7 linked regions of the Oryzias latipes genome follow. The main gene of each other region encodes a partner of the protein of the gene in region 5 in a complex. Links are inferred from orthologs where the notes say so. Each region holds a gene or a part of one and is shown on either strand. Other genes may lie near its edges. The genes, in order: rrn3, polr2f, polr1b, znrd1, taf1c, taf1b and taf1a.

Evidence for each region.
Region 1: taf1c (region 5) and rrn3 share a complex: the UniProt entries of both Homo sapiens proteins name them as parts of the pol I pre-initiation complex. The link is inferred for Oryzias latipes from reciprocal best matches to the Homo sapiens genes TAF1C and RRN3.
Region 2: taf1c (region 5) and polr2f share a complex: the UniProt entries of both Homo sapiens proteins name them as parts of the pol I pre-initiation complex. The link is inferred for Oryzias latipes from reciprocal best matches to the Homo sapiens genes TAF1C and POLR2F.
Region 3: taf1c (region 5) and polr1b share a complex: the UniProt entries of both Homo sapiens proteins name them as parts of the pol I pre-initiation complex. The link is inferred for Oryzias latipes from reciprocal best matches to the Homo sapiens genes TAF1C and POLR1B.
Region 4: taf1c (region 5) and znrd1 share a complex: the UniProt entries of both Homo sapiens proteins name them as parts of the pol I pre-initiation complex. The link is inferred for Oryzias latipes from reciprocal best matches to the Homo sapiens genes TAF1C and POLR1H.
Region 6: taf1c (region 5) and taf1b share a complex: the UniProt entries of both Homo sapiens proteins name them as parts of the transcription factor SL1/TIF-IB complex. The link is inferred for Oryzias latipes from reciprocal best matches to the Homo sapiens genes TAF1C and TAF1B.
Region 7: taf1c (region 5) and taf1a share a complex: the UniProt entries of both Homo sapiens proteins name them as parts of the transcription factor SL1/TIF-IB complex. The link is inferred for Oryzias latipes from reciprocal best matches to the Homo sapiens genes TAF1C and TAF1A.

Annotation. Positions count from the first base shown.
Region 1 is NC_019866.2:25,544,614-25,548,775, forward strand, and holds the start of rrn3 (RNA polymerase I-specific transcription initiation factor RRN3), read right to left. Parts: upstream 2,801-4,162; 5' UTR 2,552-2,800; coding exon 2,453-2,551; intron 2,181-2,452; coding exon 2,124-2,180; intron 2,053-2,123; coding exon 1,963-2,052; intron 1-1,962. UniProt on the Homo sapiens protein: Required for efficient transcription initiation by RNA polymerase I (Pol I). Required for the formation of the competent pre-initiation complex (PIC).
Region 2 is NC_019866.2:19,813,471-19,817,724, forward strand, and holds polr2f (DNA-directed RNA polymerases I, II, and III subunit RPABC2), read left to right. Parts: upstream 1-1,454; 5' UTR 1,455-1,589; coding exon 1,590-1,609; intron 1,610-1,750; coding exon 1,751-1,820; intron 1,821-1,930; coding exon 1,931-2,061; intron 2,062-3,427; coding exon 3,428-3,499; intron 3,500-3,585; coding exon 3,586-3,676; 3' UTR 3,677-3,907; downstream 3,908-4,254. UniProt on the Homo sapiens protein: DNA-dependent RNA polymerase catalyzes the transcription of DNA into RNA using the four ribonucleoside triphosphates as substrates.
Region 3 is NC_019873.2:3,644,806-3,647,206, forward strand, and holds the end of polr1b (DNA-directed RNA polymerase I subunit RPA2), read right to left. Parts: intron 2,276-2,401; coding exon 2,025-2,275; intron 1,951-2,024; coding exon 1,068-1,950; 3' UTR 501-1,067; downstream 1-500. UniProt on the Homo sapiens protein: Catalytic core component of RNA polymerase I (Pol I), a DNA-dependent RNA polymerase which synthesizes ribosomal RNA precursors using the four ribonucleoside triphosphates as substrates.
Region 4 is NC_019869.2:21,549,317-21,553,127, reverse strand, and holds znrd1 (DNA-directed RNA polymerase I subunit RPA12), read right to left. Parts: upstream 2,561-3,811; 5' UTR 2,439-2,560; exon of another isoform or gene 2,299-2,438; 5' UTR 2,288-2,298; coding exon 2,170-2,287; intron 1,496-2,169; coding exon 1,392-1,495; intron 1,311-1,391; coding exon 1,201-1,310; intron 1,128-1,200; coding exon 1,103-1,127; 3' UTR 501-1,102; downstream 1-500. UniProt on the Homo sapiens protein: Core component of RNA polymerase I (Pol I), a DNA-dependent RNA polymerase which synthesizes ribosomal RNA precursors using the four ribonucleoside triphosphates as substrates. Can mediate Pol I proofreading of the nascent RNA transcript.
Region 5 is NC_019870.2:29,159,904-29,163,999, reverse strand, and holds the start of taf1c (TATA box-binding protein-associated factor RNA polymerase I subunit C), read right to left. Parts: upstream 2,801-4,096; 5' UTR 2,470-2,800; coding exon 2,353-2,469; intron 1,814-2,352; coding exon 1,702-1,813; intron 207-1,701; coding exon 157-206; intron 1-156. UniProt on the Homo sapiens protein: Component of the transcription factor SL1/TIF-IB complex, which is involved in the assembly of the PIC (pre-initiation complex) during RNA polymerase I-dependent transcription.
Region 6 is NC_019882.2:22,300,544-22,303,398, forward strand, and holds part of taf1b (TATA box-binding protein-associated factor RNA polymerase I subunit B), read right to left. Parts: intron 2,662-2,855; coding exon 2,564-2,661; intron 2,491-2,563; coding exon 2,398-2,490; intron 2,150-2,397; coding exon 2,044-2,149; intron 1,166-2,043; coding exon 1,012-1,165; intron 945-1,011; coding exon 845-944; intron 763-844; coding exon 615-762; intron 539-614; coding exon 364-538; intron 281-363; coding exon 243-280; intron 172-242; coding exon 84-171; intron 1-83. UniProt on the Homo sapiens protein: Component of RNA polymerase I core factor complex that acts as a GTF2B/TFIIB-like factor and plays a key role in multiple steps during transcription initiation such as pre-initiation complex (PIC) assembly and postpolymerase recruitment events in polymerase I (Pol I) transcription.
Region 7 is NC_019882.2:5,957,730-5,961,732, reverse strand, and holds the start of taf1a (TATA box-binding protein-associated factor RNA polymerase I subunit A), read right to left. Parts: upstream 2,801-4,003; 5' UTR 2,559-2,800; intron 947-2,558; 5' UTR 919-946; coding exon 780-918; intron 481-779; coding exon 317-480; intron 245-316; coding exon 131-244; intron 50-130; coding exon 1-49. Other genes in the region: mia3 (transport and Golgi organization protein 1 homolog), read left to right, coding at 3,764-3,887. UniProt on the Homo sapiens protein: Component of the transcription factor SL1/TIF-IB complex, which is involved in the assembly of the PIC (pre-initiation complex) during RNA polymerase I-dependent transcription.

The sequences.
Region 1 (4,162 bases), on a different chromosome or scaffold from region 5:
TCTGGATCCACTTTAGGACAGAGGATCCGGATCCACTTTAGGACAGGGGATCCGGATCCACTTTAGGACAGGGGATCTGGATCCACTTTAGGACAGAGGATCCGGATCCACTTTAGGACAGGGGATCCGGATCCACTTTAGGACAGGGGATCTGGATCCACTTTAGGTTAGAGGATCTGGATCCACTTTAGGACAGAGGATCCGGATCCACTTTAGGACAGGGGATCCGGATCCACTTTAGGACAGGGGATCCGGATCCACTTTAGGACAGGGGATCTGGATCCACTTTAGGACAGGGGATCTGGATCCACTTTAGGACAGAGGATCCGGATCCACTTTAGGACAGGGGATCCGGATCCACTTTAGGACAGGGGATCTGGATCCACTTTAGGACAGGGGATCTGGATCCACTTTAGGACAGAGGATCTGGATCCACTTTAGGTTAGAGGATCCGGATCCACTTTAGGTCAGAGGATCCGGATCCACTTTAGGACAGGGGATCCGGATCCACTTTAGGACAGGGGATCTGGATCCACTTTAGGACAGGGGATCTGGATCCACTTTAGGACAGAGGATCTGGATCCACTTTAGGTTAGAGGATCTGGATCCACTTTAGGTCAGAGAATCTGGATCCACTTTAGGTCAGAGAACCGGATCAGCGAGCACAAATGATGATGTGAATCGTTGTTACAGTGAATGGTTCCACCTAGGGTTGTGCCGATGGACGATATCATCGTCCATCGTGATGGGTGACTGACATCCCGATGGAGAGACCACCATCGTGATGCCACGCCCCCGCCACGTTGCGCGTCGACACCATAAGCCGCGGTTACATGTACAAAATATCTTGATGGGATCAATGGTCGGATTAGTATCCAACCGTGTACATGGGCCCAGAAAAATGTTTTCAGAATATAAAAACGTTCACTAAGGTCACAATTTCGGTCGGAATAAATCATTCGCACATGCGCAGTATTCGCACATGCGCAGTTTGAAAACCGGAAGAGGATACAACTTCCGCCGAGCGGCTTTTTTTTCCAAACTTTATTGAAGGTAACAAATCAATACAAAACGATAACAGCGGCGAGCAGCTATATACATTGACATGTCAGCTCGGTAAAATACGAGACGATCTTCTAAACGTGCTTTTAATAATGTTACGGTTATTATGAAACACCTGTTCGCTCATCATTTGAATTTTAATCCGTGTGGTCAGTGCTTTTTCTGAACGAAGCCAGGATTAGCAGTATGCTAACACGGGCTAACAACATTAGCTTTGGGTGGCGCTGCACGTAAACGTGTAAGAATAACATCAGCCTTTATTTAGTCGGGACACGACTGGAAACACAAATCCGCGTGATTGTTTGAATGTTTTCTAAGGACTGAGCGACATTTCTGCTTTGAAGCTCAAACCGCTGTGTGTGCTGACGATCCGAACTGTGCTCAGACACACGTTTAGACCCGGTTCTGAGTTCGGTAGCTAGTACCCCTAGAGCTGCGGGACGGATCGCAGTCTTAAATCTCCCACACATACCGCTCATGTACCCCCCCCCCCCCTTCCCATCAAACATAAAGCTGTAAATCCGCCCTCCGCCGGTCAACTTCACTAGTTAAGTGCGGGAGCGGACCACTTCTTTTCTATTTTGCTTGTTACTTTTTCTGTTAAAGTCACTTCCCCTCAGTTTATACTGGATCATTGCGGATTAACCATTAGTTGGGAAATAAAATGAAAAAAGCAAAATAACGAATAGCAGTTATATAAGAACGAAAAATGTAAAAATACCCCCCCCCCCCCCCCCCGACGATGTCATCGTCCATCCCGATGGTTGACAGCAAACATCGTCAACGGCCAAATTAGGGGACATCGCCCAACCCTAGTTCCACCCAGAATGGAATATTCACAGATGTTTAATGAGGAAATCAACAGGAGGATTTCCTCTCCCAGAACTCTCTGCATCTCACCAGAACGGTATGGACCAGCTGCTCGTGGTCCTTCTTCAACAAGGTGACGCAGCTCCTGAACTCCTGCAGCCAGCTGATGATCTGAGCGTCCTGTGAGGAGCAGAGGAGCAGCTCAGTACCAACCATCCAACGGGACCAGTCGGCCCAATACCGGAACCCACCTTAATGTCTGGATCTGCCAGCTGATGCTGCAGCAGCTCATAATCACCAAAGTCCCCCTGTAGAACCGAACAGAACATCAACAACCACCAACCAAGATTCTAGTAGAACAGTTCAGGATCAGTTGCATCCTAATGCACACCAGCTTTGTGTTTTTTAGTATCTCCGCAACCAATTTTACAATTCAATGCGAATCAATTTACTTTAAATTCAAACATTAGAAAATACCTCCATAATGCTTTCTTTTTATTTAAATATGCAGCCACGTCACAACTTAATGGAACGGACTGACAACCGGACCAAAGCTTCAGTCTGCGGCGGAAACGAGTACCTGCCGGTGCTTCTCTAACGTCTCGGCCACGCTGCCCCCGAACCGGACCGTTTTCAGCGGGTCAGAGTTCAGGAAGTCCCTGTTAGTGTTCCCCTCCATGGTGGGTGCACGCGCCACCGGCAGCTGGGTTCCCGTCGCTAAAACAGCCGCGCGGACGAAGGCGCGCGGCCCCGCGGCATTCTCTCTGATGTCTTCTCGCTGTAGCTCCTCGATAACGAAAGTTCTACAACATCTGAAACAAACAGAACCAGAACCGACACGAGTCTGAGCGCGTCACCCCCTTTTTACACTACAGCCGGGAAGCAGCGGCGTGCTGGGGACGTGTTTACGTGAGGGACCGGTGTCACACTAAAAGATCTCCGGGAAGAGTTTTTTCCTCACAGTTCCTGCCTTCTTTATTTTTTAGAACAAACATAAAATGATTGAAAGTATATTTTTCAAAGTGACTGTCATTGATTTTAAGTAATTTCTTTTTGTCTAACAACTGTTAAAACTGTAAGATGCAGTAAAGAAAGATGAACATTTACTGATGAAAGGATTTTCTTCAGTTGATCCAACATTCAAGAAATACACGTATTACAGTATTGTAGCAATGCATCAATGACGGAAGCGGAGAGACAAGATAGGAGGATCTCTAGGCTTTATTTTTTTGAACTCAGTGCAAAAAAGAAGTAACCACAACAGGATTAAATAACTAAGAGTGAACAGCCATAAAACAGCCAGATGGAAGGACACACAGGCAAAATAAACCCCGTACTCAACCCAAACGTGACCAGAGCAGGCCAAGCGGATTATATCCCACAATTCCCCGCGCTGCCAGCTCCGACAGCAATGTGCGCGTGACCGCCACTACACTATTATGCTGGAACTGTTTCAGGAGTGGAAAAATTGCATTTAACCTTCTCTCAAAACAAACAAACTTTATGATACAACATTCTAAATAAAACTAAAAATAATATATACTCTATACACAGTGACGTGCAGTCAGGAGAGGCAGGTGCCTCACCTGTCATTATGGGAAGAAAAGAGAAAAAATAAATTCAATTATATTTAATCAGTAATTTGTGCTTTGCAGTCATTTTCCATTTAAATGTACCATTTTTGGGTGTTTTTTCTTTTCAAAATCGCTGAATTTCCGCATTTGCCGTTCAGATACTAAGAAGTGACGTGCGATGAGGCACCAGCCCGCTGAGCCTCACCTTGGATTGCGCAATACCTATGCAGTCAGACGGCACTGCTGTCTCTCTGTATGTCGGTTCAATCACTTGTACTATATCAGCTGAGTTTACATAATTTAGCAGATGTATATGATGTACAGTGTTTTCTTTTATAAATAACTGTATGTGGGGGACGTGTTTCCTGTGCTGAGCGCTAAACCCCGGCAAAAAACTCGCTGGGTGAGGCCAGCAGTTCTCGTGCCTCATGTTAGGGGCGCCGGTGAGCCCTGAGATTATGAATAAGTGATAGCAAGCGGCAAGTCATTTTCTTCAGAAGGAGCGGCGTATGAACTTTATTTACAAGTAAAGGTAAGACGATAATAACGTTTGTGCTTTTTTTTATGCTGCAGTTTGTGTATGAAAAAAAAACATGTTGAAATGATATTTTAAACAAAACACGTTAACTGTTGTCAATTAAATGGTGAATAAGTTACTCAGTATGGTTCATATGTTTGTAAATCTGACTGATGACGTCAGTGCCTCACCAGCCATT
Region 2 (4,254 bases), on a different chromosome or scaffold from region 5:
GTCTGTTTGGCACATTCTGTTCAAATTGTTTACAAAGTCCAGCAAGAGAAAAACGGAGTACTTTGAAATAGAAACCAATTCCTACTGATGTTATTTTTTTACCACTTTTTTAAAACCCTGTTTTAAGAAAAATATTTTTCCAAACCTGCATCACTAGAAAATGCTTAAAGTTGTTGTCCTACAGATTTCTTCTGAGACAAAATCAGCCATGCAGATTCCTGCACTATCTTTTGCTATATTTACTTTTTAGTTTTTTTTAGTAATTTGGTTAAAGGGGTTCATCAGAAAATGTATAGAAAACTGTGAAAGAGAGCAATTTTACAAGTGACATTTTTTTAAAAGGTTGTGACAAGAATCTCCTGTCAAATGTTCACTTTTATTGTAAATTATTGCAACTTGTTGTTTACTAAATTAACAAAGAATCAATTGCATATTTCATAGTTGGGCTATATTTGAAAAAAAAAAGTTTATGTGTAACCAACAAACAGGATTAATTTTGTTGTTAAAAACGTGAACATTTCTTCCTTTTTGTGTTTAGAAATTCTTACCCATCCACTGCTATATTTATAAAATAGGTAATGAAGAATTGTTTTAAAAGAAATCTCTTTTGTATAGACACATTTTATTAAATAAGTGAAGAATCTAAATGGATCTGTTCTTTGACAAAGTGCCAGCTGTTTGAGCTTAACCCTAGCAAAAAGTTGACGCTTTTATTTTTTTAAGTTTGCTTGAATATAAGTATAAAGCAAGTACGCTGTACTAAAGACCATGTTCATGTAGTGTAGAGATGAAGTATACTAACAGAATATTTCTTGAGACTGGAAATTGGAAATTTTAAGTTTACAATATCTAGATTTTATCTTGACATTATATTTTAAAAAAATAAACGTCAAGTATACTGCCTCACATTTATAAGTATACTTGTAGTACACTTAAATAGACTACTTCTTGCAATGAGTATTCTTACATAAGACAGGAAAGCACTTGCAAAAACATTTTTATGTTGTTTATTGTGAATATCTTTTCATTTGATCACGTAGGAAAATATATTAGATGAAGAGTAAAAAAAACAGAATCCAGCCTTAGCTCTGAATGTTTTTTCGCATTCGGTTGACCCAATTCTGTTCTTTAACTTTGCACTAAGTGACATGCCATTGTTACTCGTTTTCTATAAATGCAGGGCAAAAAATTAAGAATTATTAGTATTCATTTTCTCTCAAGGGTACATTAAAATAAATGTTGAAAACTATCATTTTGGTGTCTTCTTTTTCTCTAAAGGTACAGCCTTGGTTTTCCATAGTTTGATGGATTTATATTTATTTCTAGTTGAAGTTTATTTTGTTTAGGATACTTGACTATAATAGAAAGTAAGCTTTTTATATACTATTTGTTTGCTTGTTTTTAAATTGAATTAGAAAAAGGTAGGACAAAAAAAGAAATTCTAGTTGAGAAGCCGGACATAATTTTTCAGCGTACACGCGCACCGGAAGTTTAGAGACCACAACGCTCAATGTGGTTTAGCCTCTAAATTAAATTTGCTGCTAATAAACTCTATTAGTATCTATATTGGAAAAAATATAAGTTAAAACATGTCTGATAACGAAGACAAGTAAGTTGTGATCTATGTTCATCAAATAATGTCATGGTATATGTTAATTTTAAATCTATTTTAGCGTGTAGCCTGTTAGCTAAGCTAGGTTACGACTTCACCGTTTTCGGTCTTTGATACAGTTTTTGTCAACATTTGCAGCTTTGATGATGGAGACTTTGAGGACGCCGATGAGGACGAAGGATTAGACGATCTGGAAAACGTGGAAGATGTATGTTCGTCTGCACTTTTTTCATTTAGTGGATCATATTTGGGGTTCATTATTCATGATTTCTATCTGGCAGTCTAATCAGATGCTTGTTTTCCTTGGATGATCATCAGGAGGACCAGGAGAACGTACAGATCCTCCCCGCAGGAGAGGGGCAGCAGGCTAACCAGAAAAGGATTACAACACCGCACATGACCAAATATGAGAGAGCGAGAGTGCTGGGAACACGAGCCCTCCAAATAGCGTGAGTTGTTTACTGTAAAATAAGCGCTTTACTCTTCTAAACCAATAAGTTAGGCTTCCAAACATTTGTGGCTTTGTTGTTCTTCTTATTTTATTTTGCTAATTTGTCGTGTGGAGCAGCTGATCAAACAGATGAGAGCTGAAGGCCCCTGGTGTTGGACAGATTGTAATGTTACCATAGGAGTTTTGAAGCTTTGGGCAGAGGAGGTTTATGTCACTACAAACCTTTTTGTATTGAGGCTTAACTTTATTTTATTAATATTTGTGCTTATTGAACTATGCTGCATGTACCCCATCTTTGCCCCAAAACAGCTAGGATAGGCTCCTTCAGACCCTGATCTACAATAGGCCGGTTTTAGAAAAATGATGGACTTGTGTCCATTCCTTTTTGGACCGGAGAAAACGGAGAAGGATAGTGGGATATTAGGGATGGGGGGGACAAGATAGAAAAGGACATATAGAAGTTGGAGAGTCACCAAAGAAACACACCATTGCAAACAAAAAGAGACAAAACGTTGCTAGAGGTTATTTATAACTTTCACAATTAGATGTTTATGTTTATCGCACACACTGAATATTATAAACATTCCTGTTGCCCTCAAAAACCTTCACTCTTGCATATTGTCATGTACACAACACAGATAGAGATCAGATAAATATGCACCTTCATTTGCATAAAAGCAGATACAATCTCATACAAAAGTCCTTTTCTGAGCCAAGGTGAGTGGGCATTGGTGCTTAGTTTTTTTGTCTGTGTTCTACTGTGGACAATGATGGTATGAAGCGTAATGAATAAAAAAAAGGGGGGGAGCACCTGGTCGTCCCACACCAAGCCCCCCAGAATGAGGTGAGGCAGTAGCGGCAGCCAGGACCACCACAGCCAGGAGGGAATCCACCACCCCAGTGACCCGATACCAGCCATCCATACCAGAGGAGGGACTGCCGAAATAGTCCCCAGCACCAAAGAGCAAGGAGTCACAGGAGCATGGAGAATGCACGCCCTGGCCCAGCTAGAGAAAAGCCCCCCAGCTGTGCTATGGGCCCATCACGAGGTCCCAACTGGTTGCTGCAGATCACGTGTTTCAGGGACAAACAAAAAAATCTTTGCATCTCATTTTGTCAAAATGACACTGAATTACATTTCTCAGTTTTGCAGCTTTGAAGGCAGGTTCTGGGTTTGAACCTGGTTGTTGACATCTCTGTGTTTTTGTGTTTGGGCCGTTTAAGGACACACTGGTTTGAAAAGTGTGTGTGTGAATGAACAGTCCATGAATCCTCTGCCCCGCCTGTTTTCTGGCTTTAAAATAATGACATTTTACTTCAATTTGGGATTTATTTTGAGGATTTTGTCGTTGTTCTGCCGACAGCATGTGCGCTCCTGTGATGGTCGAGTTGGAGGGAGAAACAGACCCCTTGCAGATCGCCATGAAGGAACTAAAGTACATCAGATTATTCCATTTCTGTCTAAATTCTTTCATCTTGTTTTGTTCCTGGTAACTCAATGTTTGCCGTTTGTTCTGAACAGGAGCAGAAAGATCCCCATCATCATCCGCAGGTACCTCCCCGACGGCAGCTACGAGGACTGGGGCTGTGATGAGCTCATCATTACCGACTAAACAAACCTGGACTTTCAGCTGAACTTCAGAGCTTCGATGATACCAAACAGAAGCAGCAAATGCAGTCATTTTAAAACCTGCTTTGCAAGCATGAGCCAGTAGGGGGAGACATAACTTTGTTTAAACACATTTTTTTAACAAACTGAACTTTTGTTGTAAGTATTCCAAGTGTTGATTTTGATCAGAGATCATCTGTTTTATTGTTATAAATAAAGTCTTTTTTTATGATAATTTCACGGTTTCTGACTGTTATTATTAAAGTTTTAATGTCAGCATGAGTCATAGTCAGGGAAAAAATGGTCAGTTTTGGTCATTTAAAAAAAGAACCAAATCAGTTGATTAAACTTCAAGAATCATGTGGTGTTTGATTGATGCAGCTTTGATGTCAGCGGGTCTTTATTTTCCTTGAGGCTACAGCCCTTGTGGATTTGGTGAAGCCGTCAGAAAACAGACGGAGGCTCTCTCTGAGTTTATCCACGGAACCATGTGAATGAAGCAGCTCAACAGGTCGGCATTGTTCAAAGGGAGTGTTTGCCCTGGCAGAGAGACGCGCGGCGCTGGAGGAAAAACCAGTGCTC
Region 3 (2,401 bases), on a different chromosome or scaffold from region 5:
GTCCAGTTCTAATCCAGATTCTAGCTCAGACCAAGAAAACAAAGACGTTCATGGATAATGATCAGAATGGAGCAGAGCAGGAAGACTGTGACCTGCCAATTGCAGGTTTTACATTACAGCTAGAAGAGTTTTCAAATGGCATTTTGTCATCTGCTCCTGATTCATAACAAACTGAATAAAGAAGTTATCATAAGGTGCTGTTGAAAACATCCTTTTTCTAGCAGGGGTAAAGATGGAGGCAACATTGACCCGGGATGTCCTCAAAGGCTGAACACACCTGATCCAGGTGGCTGTAAGGGAACGACAGCTGGAACCGCACTGGGGTGTCTGCCCTCGCTTAACAAAGACTTCTGTTACAAATAGATTCCAGACGATTGACACGCTTTTGACAAATTCCTTTTTCCAGATCTTTCCTTGTGGTCATCCAGTGTTAAGAGCAGGAATAGAGACGTTCCTCTGTTCTCTCACTATCCTGTGGGGAATACAGACTCTTGGGAACATTCTTCTTCCAATGGGATGTCACTGTGTGGCACCTTTTATTAAAACCTTTTCATGTGAATTAATGGTTCAGTTCCAACATGAGCCTAAACGGCTCTAAAAGGATAATCATTTAAAAAAAGGATATAAACAAAGTGAGATTTGTAAAACTGCTACAAGCTCCAGCGTTTACATTTCTACCCTTCGATCAACGTGAATCTGCGTATTCTGCTTTGCTCTGATATGTAAGAATTCTACACATATCGGGGAAAAGCCACTTTGGATCGTTCCTGTTTTGAGGGGACGTAAACTTCCGGTTCCGGACTTCCGGTTCTGGCTAGTGATGTCTTGCCGCCATGTTGTCCACAACCAGGTCCTCTTGGCTTTATTGGGAAGAACCTGATGGCGGTCATCAGAACTGACACCCCGTCACAATGAACACTTATGAATTTACGGGATTTGAACTCTGAACTGCATCAAGCAAAGTTCTGATAACAGCATGGTTTTACAGAACTGATTCAGTAGAATTTGACTGAAATGTTTCAAAACCACAGCTAAGGCTTTAAGGCACGTATGTATCCTGCAGCACGTCACTTAACCTCAAGTTTTACTTTGATGTTCATCGCTGCCAGTTCAGCTACAAAGTAGCGGAAGACGTAAGGAACAGACACGGCGTTGATGGAGTCACTTTTGCCACAAAGCGTGCAGAGGGTCTTTCGGTGGCGCATGGCTGACCAGCAGGGCGGAGGCTTCTCCAGCAGCGGGGACAGGAGGCTGCCGCAGTCCACGCACATCTGAGCCTCTGAGCGGTCGGAGCAGTTGAAAAGACGATCGTGAAGGAGGAAGGAGGAGCCATGGGCCAGCAGGGCGTCACGCTCCATCTCTCCAAAGCGGATGCCTCCCTGAATGTTCCTTCCTCCAACGGGCTGGTTGGTGACCTTGTCCCGCGCTCCGGTGGTCCTGACTTGAAATTTGTCAGAGACCATGTGACGCAGCCGCTGGTAGTAGACCACACCGATGAAGATGTCTGCCTCCAGCTCCCGACCGCTCACTCCACTGTAGAGCCGCTCTGTCCCGTAGTAGTTGTACCCCCCCGCCCGGAGCAATTCCCCAAAGTGATCCAGCGCAGAGTTCTCCTCAGAGAAGGTGAAGGGTGTGGCGTCGTGGCTCCGACCATGAAGGGCGGCAGACTTGCCCGCCATGCTCTCGATCAGCATCCCGATGGTCATTCGAGACGGGAAGCCGTGGGGGTTGAACAAGATGTCGGGGGTCATGCCGCTCTCCGTGAAGGGCATGTCCTCAGCGGGCCACAAGCGGCTCAGGATGCCCTTCTGCCCGTGGCGGCTGGCAAACTTGTCACCAATTGTGGGGTTTCGTGGCACTCGGGTGGTAATGCAGATGCGTTTGAACTGGCCTGAGCCGCTGTCGTTGCTGCATATCTTGATGTTGTCCACCACACAGGCCTCCTGGCTTCTACAAACCACACAGAATGGCTTTCACTTCCACTGAGACAAAACATGAAGGGAGCAGAGATTTTTGCCGCTTACTTGTAAAAGTGGACGCAGCTTTGTCCCGTGTTGAGGTTGATGTAGCTGTAAAAGGGGTCACCATACTGAAGCACCGATCCGACACGAGGGAGCCCATCAGCATCGAGCTTGTCGTTTACTTTGGGGTCCCCTGGCTTGGTCCCAAACACCACAGCATCTTCCCCCCTCACTTTGTCTGCAAGGTCCACCAATTCTGTCTTGTAGATGCTCCCATGTGCAAAGCCTCTCTCCCACGATGACTTGTTCACAATCTAGTAAGATCAAAGAACGTCAGAATGTAGAGACCCACTCTGAACATCTATTTTCAAAGCATTCCAGGTGGTCTTCAGACTAGGAGGAAGTCATTTTTAGCCTAAATCTAAAAACCAAAGACCAGC
Region 4 (3,811 bases), on a different chromosome or scaffold from region 5:
TTTTTGTAAGAGTTTACTTTTATGCCAAATAGCTTGCCTGCTTGTGCATCTCCTGTGGATAATAGATGAGGGGGGCAGTTATTAAAAAGGCTTTAGAGAGAGATTGGGGGGGGGGGGGGGGTATAGGTATGATGGAGAGCTACTGAGGCCCAGGAGGACCAAACTAGACCAAGGAGGTTGAACTGTTTTTTTCTAAATGCTGCTGGCAACTTAACAGGGCAGTTGTGGTGCAGAAGTAGAGCGGTCAACCCCTGATCAAGAGGTTGCAGGTTTAATTCCCACCCTACCCGCCCATGTGTCCAAGGTTAAGACACTGAACCCCACCTTGCTTCTGGGGGTTATAGGTTGGCAACATGGTTTGGTAGCTGAGCCACAATCAGTGTGTGTGTTCATGGGTGAATGGAACTGTGACTGTAAAATGCTCCAAGAAGATAGTTAAGGGGCTAAATAAGTATACGCCGTTTACCATTCTGCTTCAATAAATCAACAAAAAGAACATGTCAGATACCAAGAGCGTTCTTTATCATTTAAAGAACAATTTAACAGCCATGTGAGATGTAAGTTGAAGCCTTACTGGATACAACAGTTCAAATTTGGTAGAATACTTTATAAAAACATAGGATGACAGTTTTCTGGTCTTTGACAAGAGTTTTAAAGAAATTAATCAAACTATAAAGAGATCATTTTCTGAGAAAATGCGCGCAAGTACTAACAGCTGTCCAGTTGAGAATCAGGGTATGCTTCAGGAAAAATAAATATAAACAGCTGATACAGTTTTATTGTTTCTGGTTAGTTTGCTGAGTTGCTGTCCTGCTCCTTCACTTTAGTTGACTTGTGTAAAATGTATACCTGATTGTCCTGAGCCTCCGTGGCTGCAGTTTAAATCTGAGACATCGATTCCTGTTTTTTTTCTTGTAGAGTCCCGATGAACTGACCAGTGTCATGTGTGACAAAGGTGGAGAGGACCAACACGTGCACCAGAACATGCACAAGTTCAGTTTAACAAACAGAAACAGCTCATCACTACAAAAAAGCAGCTCCCTGGATCAAAACAGAACCAGAGTTGAGGTGATTGTGATCAGATAGTAAGCAAAAGCTTTTCTCAGGAGTCCTCCTTTTCCTGGAACCTGAAACAAGACAAAGACCGGTCAGCTCCAGAACCGTACAGCAGGACAGGAGGGTCACGCTGACGCCACCTACCTGCAGTGGATGCAGGTGAAGAAGACCGTCTGTCCTTCATCTGCAGATCTCATCTGCCTAGTGTGGTAGATCATGCCTTCCTTATTGCAGCGAGTGCAGCGTCGGTCAATCTGCAAGCAAGGCAAGAAGCAAACCGTGAGGCGTTACCGCGACAACGAACGCTCCACTGCTGAGCGGACGGCTGCTTTTACCACAGGGCCCTTCAGCTCTGAGTTCTCCTCATCCTCCAGAGCCAGCAAGGTCTGCTCAGCGGGGTTGAAGATAACCCCAGACTGAATTTCTCTTCCCAAGAACTCTGCAGAGCAAAAGCAGCACAGTTAGAGGATTGGACAGATTAGACCTGTTAGAGAGACATCAGGAGAACCCTTTTGTCAGTGCAGACTGGCTCAAATAATTTCATGAAAGCATTAAGAGTAACTTTCAGCAACAGAGTTCTTCTGAATCCTCAACATCCTTCCCATGACCTGTGATAGTGTCACGTGGTAAAGGACACATGTATGAGCTGCCAGTGGATCTCCAACCCCAATATGAGGCCTTCCCAGGGAGGAGGAGTGAGCCCAGCAGAGGTTACTGTCTCATCACTGCTCCACAGACCGGCTGAGGAAGAAATTCAATGACTGATGTTGATCATATGCTAAATTGATTTGTCTGAAATGTTTCATTTGAGCAGTTTTAGGTGGTTGCTTTTTATTTCCCATTCTTGTTAAAGCATACTAGTCATTAAGAAAGGAGGGCAGTCAAATCAGAGAAACTAAAAAATCAAGGAAGAACTTACACATAATGTGAACTTAAAGGTAGTTGCTGATCAAAAACAAATAAAAAATGGAGGGAAATGTCAGACTGAGTGCCTCATTTTCAGTAAACCGGTAGTTTTGACTGTACTCTTGGTGCTTAAAAGCCATTCGGTTCTTGAGGGACATGAACCAGCAGCAGAGCAGGCAGACTCTCATGGCGGCGTGGACCGCTTACCTGTCACGGGCGTGCAGAGACAGCAGCGAGGGCAGCGCACCGTGTCGGACAGTCCTGGCAACGGCAGGACGCTGCCACAATCCTGACAGAAGTTGGGGTCGCGGCCGTTTGAAGACATTTGCTCTGGTTCTGAGGAAGCGCGGCGGCTATGTTCAGAGCACGTGACACAACAACAGTCCGACAGACAGATAGCTAACACATCATGCTAACTTGCAGGCACGTGGGTGGGCGCGCGCGGGCTCTCGGAGGAGTGATTTGAGGATAATTACCTGATCGATGGCTGTTTGCACAAAAACAGACAATAATTTACTTTCTCCTCGCCCGCATTGGGTGTTGTTGTGCGCTCTTCTTCTTCATGTTAACTAGAAGATGGTAATGTCACGTAAACACGAGCGCCTCGTAGTGGACAGAAATGTGAATGACACCATTGTAGTTTTCCTTCATTTGACCCTAAATTTTAAGGATGTTCCAACGTTTTACAACTCAAAAGACCTTATTTATTCGTAGTTGACTCTTATAAATTCATCACTTACTACTGTTGTAAGTTATATGAAGGTTTTAGACTACTGTAACTTTATAAGTGTGTTTTAATCCAGATATTTTCACCTCTAATGTTTCAGTTAGCCAAAAATCGAATTAATAAATGTCATTTTGTTTCCTTTCTCGCAAATGTTTGATGGTTTTTCTGTCTTTTTAAATCCATTATTTTAAAAAAAATAATTTTAAAATGTATTTAGCAAATTAAGCACTTAGCTTGCATCAAATTCCTTTGGTTGCTCAACATATTTAGTTGTTTTTTTGTTATTTCTCACAGCAGTATTATCTTGTAATATTGCATTTGTGGCATTGTTCATTATTGAGTTTTTCTAATAATTTCAGATGTTTAGCAAATTTAGGAATTATCAGTTCACCTGGGAGCTTTTGCATTTAAGTATTCAAGCTGGCAACAATTTAATTGAATAGCCTCCTTTATTTTTCCTAGGAATTAATGCTTTTCCTGGTAAATCCTGTTTGTACTTCTGGCCACAATTGCATATCTACATGTAGTTTTTTGCAGTTTCCTCTCAAATAATTGTAATTAAATTCCGATCTGTAAAAAATTGAGCCTCCAGTTTCACACACAAGGCAATTAATCCGTATTTATATCTTTGCCCACAGCCTCAAGACAAAATTAGATTTAAACAAGGTTTTTAAAAATAAATTACAACCTGATAAAATAAAAACAACCTGCTTGCCTATTTAAATCGACATAAATTGGCAAGCAGGGGGCATAAAACAACTAGAGCACATAATTATTGATAGTAGATTCATAACTCCCCAGGAACTTCAAGACAAACATGGAATAAATAACTTCTTGGAATATCAGCAACTTAAATCAATTATTACTAAAAAGTTTAAATACAGAGACAACGATTTCAAGCTACCAGACGTAGTTACCACTCTGATTAATTTCTCAATGAAAAAAACTCTCTCCAAAATATACAAACTTTTATGTAATTTAGATAATAATATTTCACTTCCGACAACAAAATGGGATGCGGATTTGAGCATCAGCACAGATTAAAGCTTCTGGTCAGAACTTTGTCTAAACACCTTTAAACTGACCAAAAGTCCAAATCTGCAGCTAATCCATTTCAAAACT
Region 5 (4,096 bases):
TAGCCTCCGGCTTTGGTTTCCCTCAGAGCAGAGAGAGGACCTGCTGAGTAACGCAGCAGAGCCAGCCTCACTTTGATCATAACCCTGCTTGGCTGATGCTCTGCCATCAAAGGGAACCATATGAGGCTGTCAGTGCATGAACTGCTGCTTCCTTACGTGTTCAGTGAAGTCTGCCGGCTCTGGAGGCGTCACAGATGGGAGAAAAGCTGGAACAGAGGACATTCACAGATAACACCACTGTATTCAATAAAACAGCCTCAAACATTTCACTTCCCTGTTTGAAAACGTGAAGGTTCTCCAGCCCCCTGATGATCAGCTGACTGCTCCAGTGATCCAGTGGATCAACTTCAGTAAACTTCTCATCCTAAGTTGTTATTTCAGTCCGTTTCTCCTGAGGTGAAACGTTCTAAAGGGTCTTTATCATGCAGAATCAACTTGTGGAGCTTTTCAGTGTTTTATAATCTTCATTCTTCACTATAAACAACCCAAAGTAGTATTTGGATCCATTCATGAATGTCTGAGTGTTCCTCTAAAAACCTGCTCTCTGAGCACCAGCCCCTCCCAAAACCAGTGCGTTCTCACACTGTGACATCACAAAGTGAGGAACCGCCCCTTTCAGGAAGAGTCTGCCCTGCCAGCCCCGCCTCCAGGCTAATAGACACGCCCACTCTCTCAGTGAAGCTAGCGGTGATCGGGTAGACGCTTTCCTTTCAATACACAATATGCACATCCATCTTTGGAAAAGTTTGAATGTTTTCGTAGGAGAAACGTAGACACTAGGATGATGTCATGAAATGGGCGGAGCCCACAAGGAGAGAAAGGCGGAGCCTCGGAGATCGAGTCATCTTACTTCCAGGTTGGAAAATGAGCTGAAAGTAACTTATATTTCATAAGAACTGTGTCAAAGGTAACAGATAGTCCTATGTGGACATTGTTGACTCTGAAAGGTTCTCAGGGAAAGGTAAAGGCTCTTTAAGCTGCTCTACAAGCTTAAAGCTTCTCTGTGTTTAACGTGTTCTTCCGACATTTTTTCATGATTGAGGACAAAATTAGTATTTCTTTATTTAAATTGTTGTAAATCAGGATAAATTCCATTTGATACAGAGCTTATTTGTTGAGCAACAAATGTGCTGGGCGTGGCCAAAGTCTCCATGCTCCGCCCCTTTCTGATCATCCACCTGCAGACCAACAGACCCATGAACGTCTTTGTTTTCCTGCTCTGAGCTGGAATCTGGATCAGAAATGGACTTCTGTGTAGCTACAGTACAGTTTTTTTTAACGGTAACGTTAGCTTGGATTCGTGAGGGGCTGTACGCCAGGGAAACGACAGCGTGCTTACTCTGCGCCAACAGTCCCGCCCACAACGCAGAGGTGAATTTCTAATGAACTCCTGCTGCTCTGAAGATTCAATGTCCTAGAAAACGACACAGGATTTTGGCTAAAAACAAAATCACCATTATCCAAAGACCAATGGGACTTGGAACGCCTTGATTTGTAGGATTCTCCAAAACTCCCCAGACGATTGTGAGATCAACCTGCTGTGCAACAGAGAGTTTTCTACAATCAGTGTCTCCTTATGCATGAATCTATGCCGCCGTACTCTTCCAGCGGAGAAGACAAACGGGTTTCAGTGGATAGAATCACATCAAATGCCTCGTCTCGTAGCAGAGGCTCAATCTCCTGCAGGAGAAAGCAGCTCACCGCTTCTGGGAGACAGGAGCGGGACGGGCACAGGCTCGGCGTGGAGCCACGTCTCCCCGCTGACCTGGTGTCTGGAGGTAAAGGACCAGCTGGAGCCAGGACCCGCCCCTTCCTGTAAACACACAGAAACAGCGAAGCTCAGGCGGTTTCTGCAAACCAGATATTTTTCTGCCAATCTGCAAAAAAGGTGTGATGGGCATCAAACGCTAGAGAGACGCTCACTCCACCACTGCGCTGATCAGACCTGCCTTACACCAGGATTCCAATTATTACCCTTTAGTTTCATTTACATTCATCAACATAAACATTCAGCCTGGATTTGCTGGACATGCAGCTCCTTCTAGTGTTTTGGTCGTTGAGGTAATTTTGCTGCAGATGGATCGTGATGATTCTTTGTTGCACATGATCCTGTCTCATTTTAAAAAGAGTCCCTGACCTTTTGTAGACCGTAAAAAAACAAAAACACATCTTTATATTTCAGTCTTTATCATGACAAAGAACCAATTATTTTCTATGTCGCATAATAACTAAGCGACATACACTAAGGTGCATTTATTGTGGAGTCCCGGAATCGAAGCCCCGTGTTTCGGGAATATGGATGATGATTGAGATGACACACCATGAGGCAGGCCGTTGCACCAAATGACCCACCTGAGGAATGACGCGCTCGTAACTGCCCCATCCGCCCGCGCAGGGCTTCTGCCTCGAATTCGGGGGTCCGTGGTTGTAAAACGAAGGGAAAAGTTTCAGAGGGAACCGATGATCCATTCGATCCCTTTTGATCTGCTGAAGTAACTTCCAGGCGTCCGGATTTGTGTCACGGCGGGTGATTCCCGGGAACACGTCCGCACATGTCTAACGGCTCGGCTACGCTGTTAGCTCCGCGGCGCGCGCCTGTTAGTCGGACAAAAGGAAAGCTGCGTCGGCGCGACCGCCGCGTGACAGGAATCCACTCGATCCCACGAACGCACGTCCAGACCGAGGTGAAAACACGGCGGCGTCCAAAGACACCACGGACAAACGCAGCTCTTCAAGAACCTCGATCAACACGTGTTCAAGCTCCGACTGTAACCGGAAGTCCAACTCAATAACAAAACAAGAACTTCCGCTACATTTGAAAAAAAAAAGTTTTTAATAATAGAAATAGACCTAGAATAAAGTTGGATGACCCCCTCCAAACAAATGACATTAATAGGTGTGAAAACGTTTTACAATAAAATATCACAACAAAGTTAATACAGAAACGTTCGACATAAATAACAACAACAATGGTCAAACATTATTTATTTATATATTATTATTATTATTATTATTATTATTATTATTATTATTATTATTATTATTATTATTATTATTATTATTATTAATTAAGTAAACAATTCAGTTTGATGGCAACAGTTTAAAAAACAACTTCAAAATAAGAGTTCAAACCGCAAACCAACCTATAAAACATTAAACTGTGAGGGGCAAAGGGAGAAAACTCACAGTGATATCATGCAAACTCTACCATCACAGCAAAATGTCTGACTTCATGTTTGTATCGGTTATAACTCAATTTAAAAGCACAGTATATATTTCCGCGGTGTTTTATTTTCCCGGGACCGGATGTAGCCGTCACACGTCCACCGATCAGCTGACTGCACAGATCGATCCGTCTGAGGAGCAGCGGCGTGAAGGATCCGGGCGAAGGCTTGTGGTTCTCCTGCAGTCTCTGCGTCTGAGGCCTCGTCGTTGGACTGCGGTCCCCGGTGAGTCTGAACGCTCCCCTCCGGAGGGTTTTGGTTTGGAGGCTAACCCGGAAGTCAGCGTACTGCAGTCTGGGTTAGCGTTAGCATGTCGCGCGGCTAGCCCTCCCTGAGTCCGTCTGGATGTCAGCCGCAGGATCGCGTCGGTTCGGGGTTAGGGTAGTCTTCCTCCGAGGATGAAGTCCGTGTCTGCTCTGGAGTCTGCCTGGAACTGATCAGGTTTGAAGGAAACTCCAAGGTGACGCGGTCAGTTCAGTGTTTTTCTCCGTGGGGACGGCCCGGGGTCGTGACTTACCGCATGCTAATCCTCGCGTGAATCGGTGCGGGGCCTTACGGACTCTGCGGGTTGACTGACAGCTGTGTTGAAGTGTTTGTGATGCGACATCTCAGTTTTTTCTCAGCTCAGTGCTGGTTTGCTTTGAAGAATTCAGATGTCTGCAGTGTTCCTCTACGGTGGCCGAGACGGTGCAAGACACGTTGACATACAACAACTACAAATCCCAGATGAACAAATACTGAAACACAACAACGAAAGGTTGACTGGGTTTCTGTAAGCATTCTGTTTTCCTGGAACCTGGCGTGTCATTGAACACATCTGCAGATTATGAAGGGAGGATGAGGATTGGTGTTGTGGTTTCTGCATGTTTGCA
Region 6 (2,855 bases), on a different chromosome or scaffold from region 5:
AAAGTCAGATTTAAAAATATTGCCAGAAGTGACCTGAAGGATCTGCAGGAGTCCGACAAACTGGAACCGAGGAACAACCTCACCTGGCTGTGTCCTGGTCCCTCCTCTGCTGAGCTCGGTTCAGAGCGGTCTGCATCAGTTTGTACCACCTTCGCAGGTTAAACTGGGCCCCTGTCAGAGAGAAAGCATGAGCTTGAAGAGCCCCCACCAAGAGGACTCACACACAGGGGGCACTCACGGACCCTCTCCGTCTGTGGACCTGGCGTTGTTGGACAGCTCCCTGAAACCAGGAGAACCGCAGTGAGACGACCTGTCTGTGGAATGGATGTAGGGGGGTGGGGAGGGCAGGGCAGGGGGGGTTACCATTCGGTGTGGTCGTCCAGGCCAAAGAGGAGCTTCATGGTGACGATAATGAGCGCTGCCGCCTGCAGGTCGTACCGGGGCAGGGTGGGCTGGGACTCGGGGTGGAACGTCTGGCGGCTTTCATGGAACAAACCTGCGAGCTCCGCCACTCTGCAGACCCACCTGTGCAGCTCACCTGCAGACAGGAAGGAGCCGCTCAGCCCGCGCAGCATGCATGTCTGTCTGTCAGCTGGGACGGAGGAAGCTGTTACCGGGCAGGTTTGCATCGATCAGGTAGCGCAGGCTCAGTGGCCCCGGGTGGAGCAGAGTCTGCTGGCTGATGGGAGGAAACGCTGGAAGTTGCAGGAACAGAAGCAGATCCTGAGCCTCCTTATGCAGCGAGCGGTGAGACGGTACCGTCTGCAGAGACAGTTCACCACATCGTCAACAAACAGGAGAACACAGGGCAGAGGTCAGCAGCTCACTCACTCCAGGTCGTTACCTCTGCAGTAAACAGAAGAGCATCTTTGCCGAACAGCTTCATCTGCTCTGGGAGCTGCTCATGGGCCTTCACATACGGGACGCTTCCACAGTTCACCAGTCTGAGAGCAAACACAGGATCAGCCCAACATCCAGCAGTCCAACGCCTGGTTTGGAGGAGCAGATTACCCAAGCAGGTCGCTGAGAGTCAGCGCCTCCCGGCTCCAGACCAAGGCCAAGTGGATCAGGGCCAGAGTCTTCTTCAGGCTCAGGAGTCTATGGCTCCGCCTCTGACGGGGAGTCAGGTAACAGAGGCTGTCCGCTGATCCAGACCAGTCACTGCCTGAGGGATTAGGCTACATTTCAACATACAATACTCACAATACGTCATGGATATTGTGAAAAAAACAACAAACTCAGTGGATGTGATATACACAGAGACGTGGTGAGCGATACGCCGAGGTCAAAGGTCCTCAGGGTTGGCTTTGGGGAAGGAGGTGTAACAGTCTGGACAGGTATCACCAGTCAGGGTCAAACTGATTTGGTTATTGTAAATGACCCAGTCACTGAATGTTCTAACCTCAGAGACATCATAGAACCATTCTCATCCCCCAATTCCACCAGAACACCCCCAGCTTTCTGTTCATGGATGATTACACCCTATCACATGGTACCAGTACTGTCACAGCAGGACTTCAGGAAGTGGGAGTAGCTCATGTGGTATGACCAGCAATGACCCTTGACCTGAAACCCATAGAGAACGTCTGGGACCAGCTGAAGCAGACTGGATGATGGTATCCCACCCCCAAGTGAGCTGCAGAACTACATGCAGCACTTATGGAAGATTGGTTCAGACCAACACCATGAGGTTGGTGAGGAGACGTCACTGTCAAGCTGCTGTTGATGCAAATGCTGCAAATACCCACTATTGACATTTCTGTTATTTGGGGCTATTTTTATTATTGTCCTCATTTTAGGGGTAATATTAACCTAATGAAAATGTTTTTTTCTCATTAATTTTTAGTTATTAGTAATATCTCCAACTTTCTGTCAGTAGTCTAATTCAATAATTAGATAATAATAATAATTCACTCATTTCAAAGTCAGACCCCCCTGTAGTCCCCCAGACGGCAGAGATCTGAGGTCTGGCGTCTCCATAGTCCAGTGACCAAAGACTTCATGGCTGACCCCAGCTGCTCCTGCTGGGGGAGTCAAACATACCTCCTTTAGAGCTGGGGCTGCTGCAGGGATTTGACTCTCCATCCGTCCCGCTGGCTGATGCCACAGACGCCTCGGCTGCGCTGTCTGAATCCGAGTCTGCGTCTCCCTGGGGGGGGGGGGGACAGAACAGAAGGCTGCTGCAGTCATCATCACTCTTCCTCTGAAGACATTTATGTTTGTTCCTGCATTTGAGTGGATCTAAAAATTCAGACTAAACTGATATCCCTCCAGTTATGAAAAAGCATGGAGAGCATATGAATAAATAAACATCCGTGTTAGTACTCATTGAAATCATGTATATGATTATCTCAGCACAGATTTTCAAAGGAAGGTGAGTCACAGACTGAAACTGACCACTCTGAACTTGGCGCTCCTAACTCGGTTGACGCAGTAAGCCTGCCGGCTCTTCTGCAAGTAGAGCCTCCACAGCTGACGCAGCACGCCGTCCTAAAGCGGCGAGCCACACACTGATCAGACGGGCTCAGGCATCGATGGCAGATCAATACGGACAGATTCAGACCTTGAAGTGAGGATGGACTCCCAGCCTAAGCAGGGCATCCGCCTGGTTCATCAGGATGAACTGGAAACCTTCACAGACCATCCATGTGTGACGGCCACCTGAACGACACAGAACACGTGTGAGACAAAGAAACACAAACGTTTCAGATGGGCACTGCCATCAAACTGAGAGGAACCCAAAAGCATTTTCAAAGATCTAAAACTGGAAACGAAGCAAATGTCTGAATGAGAGTTCCAGAGTTTAGAAGCAACAAGGATTCATGGAGGAGCCTGAAGATCAGAGGATGCTGGAG
Region 7 (4,003 bases), on a different chromosome or scaffold from region 5:
CTTCTATCTGACCATGAAGCATTAAGTGGAATGAATGTTCCAGAGAAATCTAAAAAAAAAGAAGAAGAAAATTGCAGAATTTAGAGGAAAAATTATGTTCAAAAGAGGACAAGGGCTCGTTTTAACACACCTTTAGATAATGTTTAAATCCTGAATGCTTCATCCGTTCATATATGACATTGTAGTCATCCATCGTAGATTTGGGATGATGGTGAAGGATCTCAGTGCTGATTCTCCAAACAAGCTACAAGAAGATATTAAATTTACCTTCTTTTTAAGATACACACATTTGGTGAAGACGCAAAAGCAAACTTGCCTCTTTGTATTGCTGTGCTGTGAGATTAACTCTGTCCTCTAATATTTGTGCATAGCTGGCCATGTACTCTGCTGCCTCCAGCCACCTGTGATGAAGCATGGCTTCTCTGATGTACTCCAGGCACAGTCTGACGCTCTGGTGAAATCCATTTTCGTGCAGAGTCTCTGAAATTATTTAAGTAAAACTTACAAATTAATGAGTTCCAAACAAAAATATCATTTTTTGGCTAATGTAGAATAATTCAGCCAATTAGGGTTTGTTTATTATTGCAATAAAATGTAGATGACATATGTTTTCATGATAAGTATAATCTTTTCAGTGATTTCTGAAGATGTTTACTTAAAAAATACCGTTTTAATGACAATCTGTATGGTGTTATCTGACATATGCTCATAAACCCATATTTTTTTAAAGAGAATTAGAGGGGAAAACGCACTTTTATGGAATATAAAGTGTGTCTTACTTTGACAAATTGGTTGGATCAAATCTAACTTGAATGAGCTTCCTTCTTTTCTAGAGCTGTTGTCACAGGAGTCATCAGCATCATCATCATCATTCTCCATGTCTTCACGAGGGTTCAGTTCTTTCTCCAGGTCGTCCATGTTTGGCTAAAAGTTATGGCTCTTCAACCTACGAGGAGAAAAACAATGAGAGACAGTAAAGCAAAAAGTAGCAAACAGGTCCTTTGACATTACAATTTTTCTGTTTTATGAACATTTTAAAAATCACAAAGATGCTCTTCTAGAACTAAATAACGTGTCACTTATGACCAACTGTCTGCAGATTTTTAGGTGTACAACACAATCATAACTACAGGGGTTGACATAGCCCAGAAATTTGCACTGGCCCACAGGGCCAGTAGTTTTTGAAACTTACTGGCCCTGCCTGAAAGTTACTGGCCCGACACCGCGCATAGCGGGACCCGCCGCTCCGCAGGTGCTTGCAACTTTAGGGGGGTCCGGGGGCATGCCCCCCCGGAAACTTTTAATATGGTGCAATTTGGTGCATTCTGGTGACATCACTTATTTCTACACTTTTCAATGACTGAAAATAGACCATATCAAACTTAAATCTGCTCTAGTCTGTTTCAGATGTTTTGAAGAGAGCACTGCAGTGTAGTAGGTAACACTAGTTCAGAAGTTTTCATGGTGCTTCTAACGGCAAATATCACAATAAATCATAAACCTTAAATGTGTTAAAACAATCTAATGGCAGCTTGAACCATTTAACGAATCAAGTAAATCCCTTAATGCATTTGACCAATCGGATGGACGCCTTCACATTGTTGACCAATCAGATGGAGCCCTGTTATGTTAGATGTTTGTAACCTATGTCAACGTGGGTCATTTGGAGTATAATTTTTAAACTGGGAATGGTTATTTGGTTATTTTTCTGTTTGTTTATATACCGCAAATTATATCGTTATCGCAATTTTAATCTCTGATATCGCATATCGCGAGTTTTCCTCATATTGTGCAGGTCTAACTGAGATCATTCAGCTAACTAGAAATACTTACTGCTTACAGTAAGTATTTCTACTTTAAGTAAAATTAAGTAGTTTAACATTCTACTGCATTTGAGTCTGAGATTCAGGTATTTGGAGTTGCCTTTGATTCTTTGACATTCAGCTTAAAGCTTAGTGCATACAGTTTCATCTTCAATGCATTCATTAAATATCTTGCTGTCCATAGTACTAATTCCACCCATTACTCCATCTAACATATTCCTATCTATTCCTGCCATGTCTTCCACATCTCTGACATGCTTCAGTCTCTCTTCAGTGACGGTGTCGGATTTATAATCAAATGTAATAATAACCCACTGGCTTGTGCCTTCGTTGTTGCTGTTTAACATTGTTTTGTATTGAATTGTTACATTCAATAAAGTTTGAAAAAAAAAGTAGTGAGCGCGTGCCGCGTGGTGCTCCGCAGTGAAAGCCGCGCGCGCGCAGGCGGGAGAGAAGGAGAAGTGATCAAAGGTTTCCCATAGAAACCTTTGAAGTCTGAACACAGGACTAGCAGAAAAACTAAATTATGAAGACGAGGTAAATCTACACGTTTTCGCAAAATTTACTTTATTGAAAAAGGTGAAGAATATATAAACAGTTAGATATTTTAGTGGCCCGAGCGGACAAGTGAAAAGTAAAGTCTTGTGGTCCGCACTGCTCGAAAAACAGGACCGGGCCAGCGGACAAATGGCTATGTCGAGCCCTGAACTAGTAGCTGACATTTGATTTGCTTACCTGGCCAGACTAGCCCCACTGAGGCTCACTGTGTTGAAGTTACCCTACTCGAAAATAAGCGTCAAATTAGGATGAAATTAAGGTCTTATCTTACGGAAATAGGTTTTACCTAAATGGTGTCTAAATAAAAGAGTATGCTTGGCACTAAATTGATATTTCTGATTTAAATAACAAAAAAAAACGTAATTCTTGCTACACATGTGAGATGTTTGTAGCCACCACACTTCCGGTGCAGCTCAGGAAGTAGATTGTGAATCTGTCTTGCTATTGGCTGAATCAACCCAAGGAGGCGGGGCGGAGCAGGGGGTTTCCTCCACGTGACTTTTCACGGTCTCAGAGTTCCTTACTTAATCAATAATAATAAACTACTTACTAAAATATAAGGCAAAGAAAGAGCCAAAATTGTAACTACTGCAAAAAGATTTGCCAAATATTTTTTTTGAAGAAGTAAATGGGCTTCGATCTCTTTTTCCCTCTTCTCTCTTCGGAAATACAGTAGTGTGTACTTGTTGACAGTATTTGTAAATGTATCCACTACTTGTGCTAAGAGCAAAAAATGCATTTTAAATCACAAAGTAAGAAAGCTACAGTGTTAGCAAGATTTATTTATTCTCTCAAAACCTATTTTTTATTTTAGTCAATGTTTTGTTTTACTGAAATTTTTATTATTTTGAAATTGAAGAAACATATACATGTAAGTTTTCTAAAAAAAAATAAATAAAACTAATATTAATAGAACACGTAAAAATTATTTTGAGTTGATATTTTTACAATGTCACGGTATGAAGCTTATTTTTAACCATGTCATTTTTTAAACCTAGTAGTAATTATTTATCTTTACTTTCAATATAAGGAAGTCTTCTACAATGTTTTTCAGTGAGTTATTTTACTATTTCCTCGTAATTGCGTTACTTTTGCTCAGAAAATAATGTTCAGTGGTTTGTTATTGGAGCTAAGTGAGTAATTTGAATGTGGCCACACACACAAACACATTAGAGAATGAGGTCGTGCTTTCCAGTCTTCGTGTTTATTCTGGTGTGGACCTGAGGCTGATTCTCAGGTACCTGAATCCGCCTCATCCATCGATGCGAACCCGTCCGGGCCTCCACCCAGCCGGATCTTAACTGCTGACGTGTCAGCTCCTGCGTCCCACTGCTCATGCTCCGGCGGCGGCGGAGTCAAGTCCGGCTACACTAACTGCCAACATGGCAGCAAAACATTTTTACCGTCTAGGCTTTTTATTATTAGTTTTATTTTATTTAATACCAACTGCAGCCTTGGAGAGGAGATTCTCTGACTTTAAAAGATGCGCAGACGAGGAGTGCAGCAGTAAGTTTGCCTGCAGAGCTGGGGAGGGACGCGGCTTCATGGATGCGGCGTTCCCTTCCGTTGATCCTGATACGGGAGCTAGCCATAAACCACGGCTTATCTCTTGACCTGTTGCC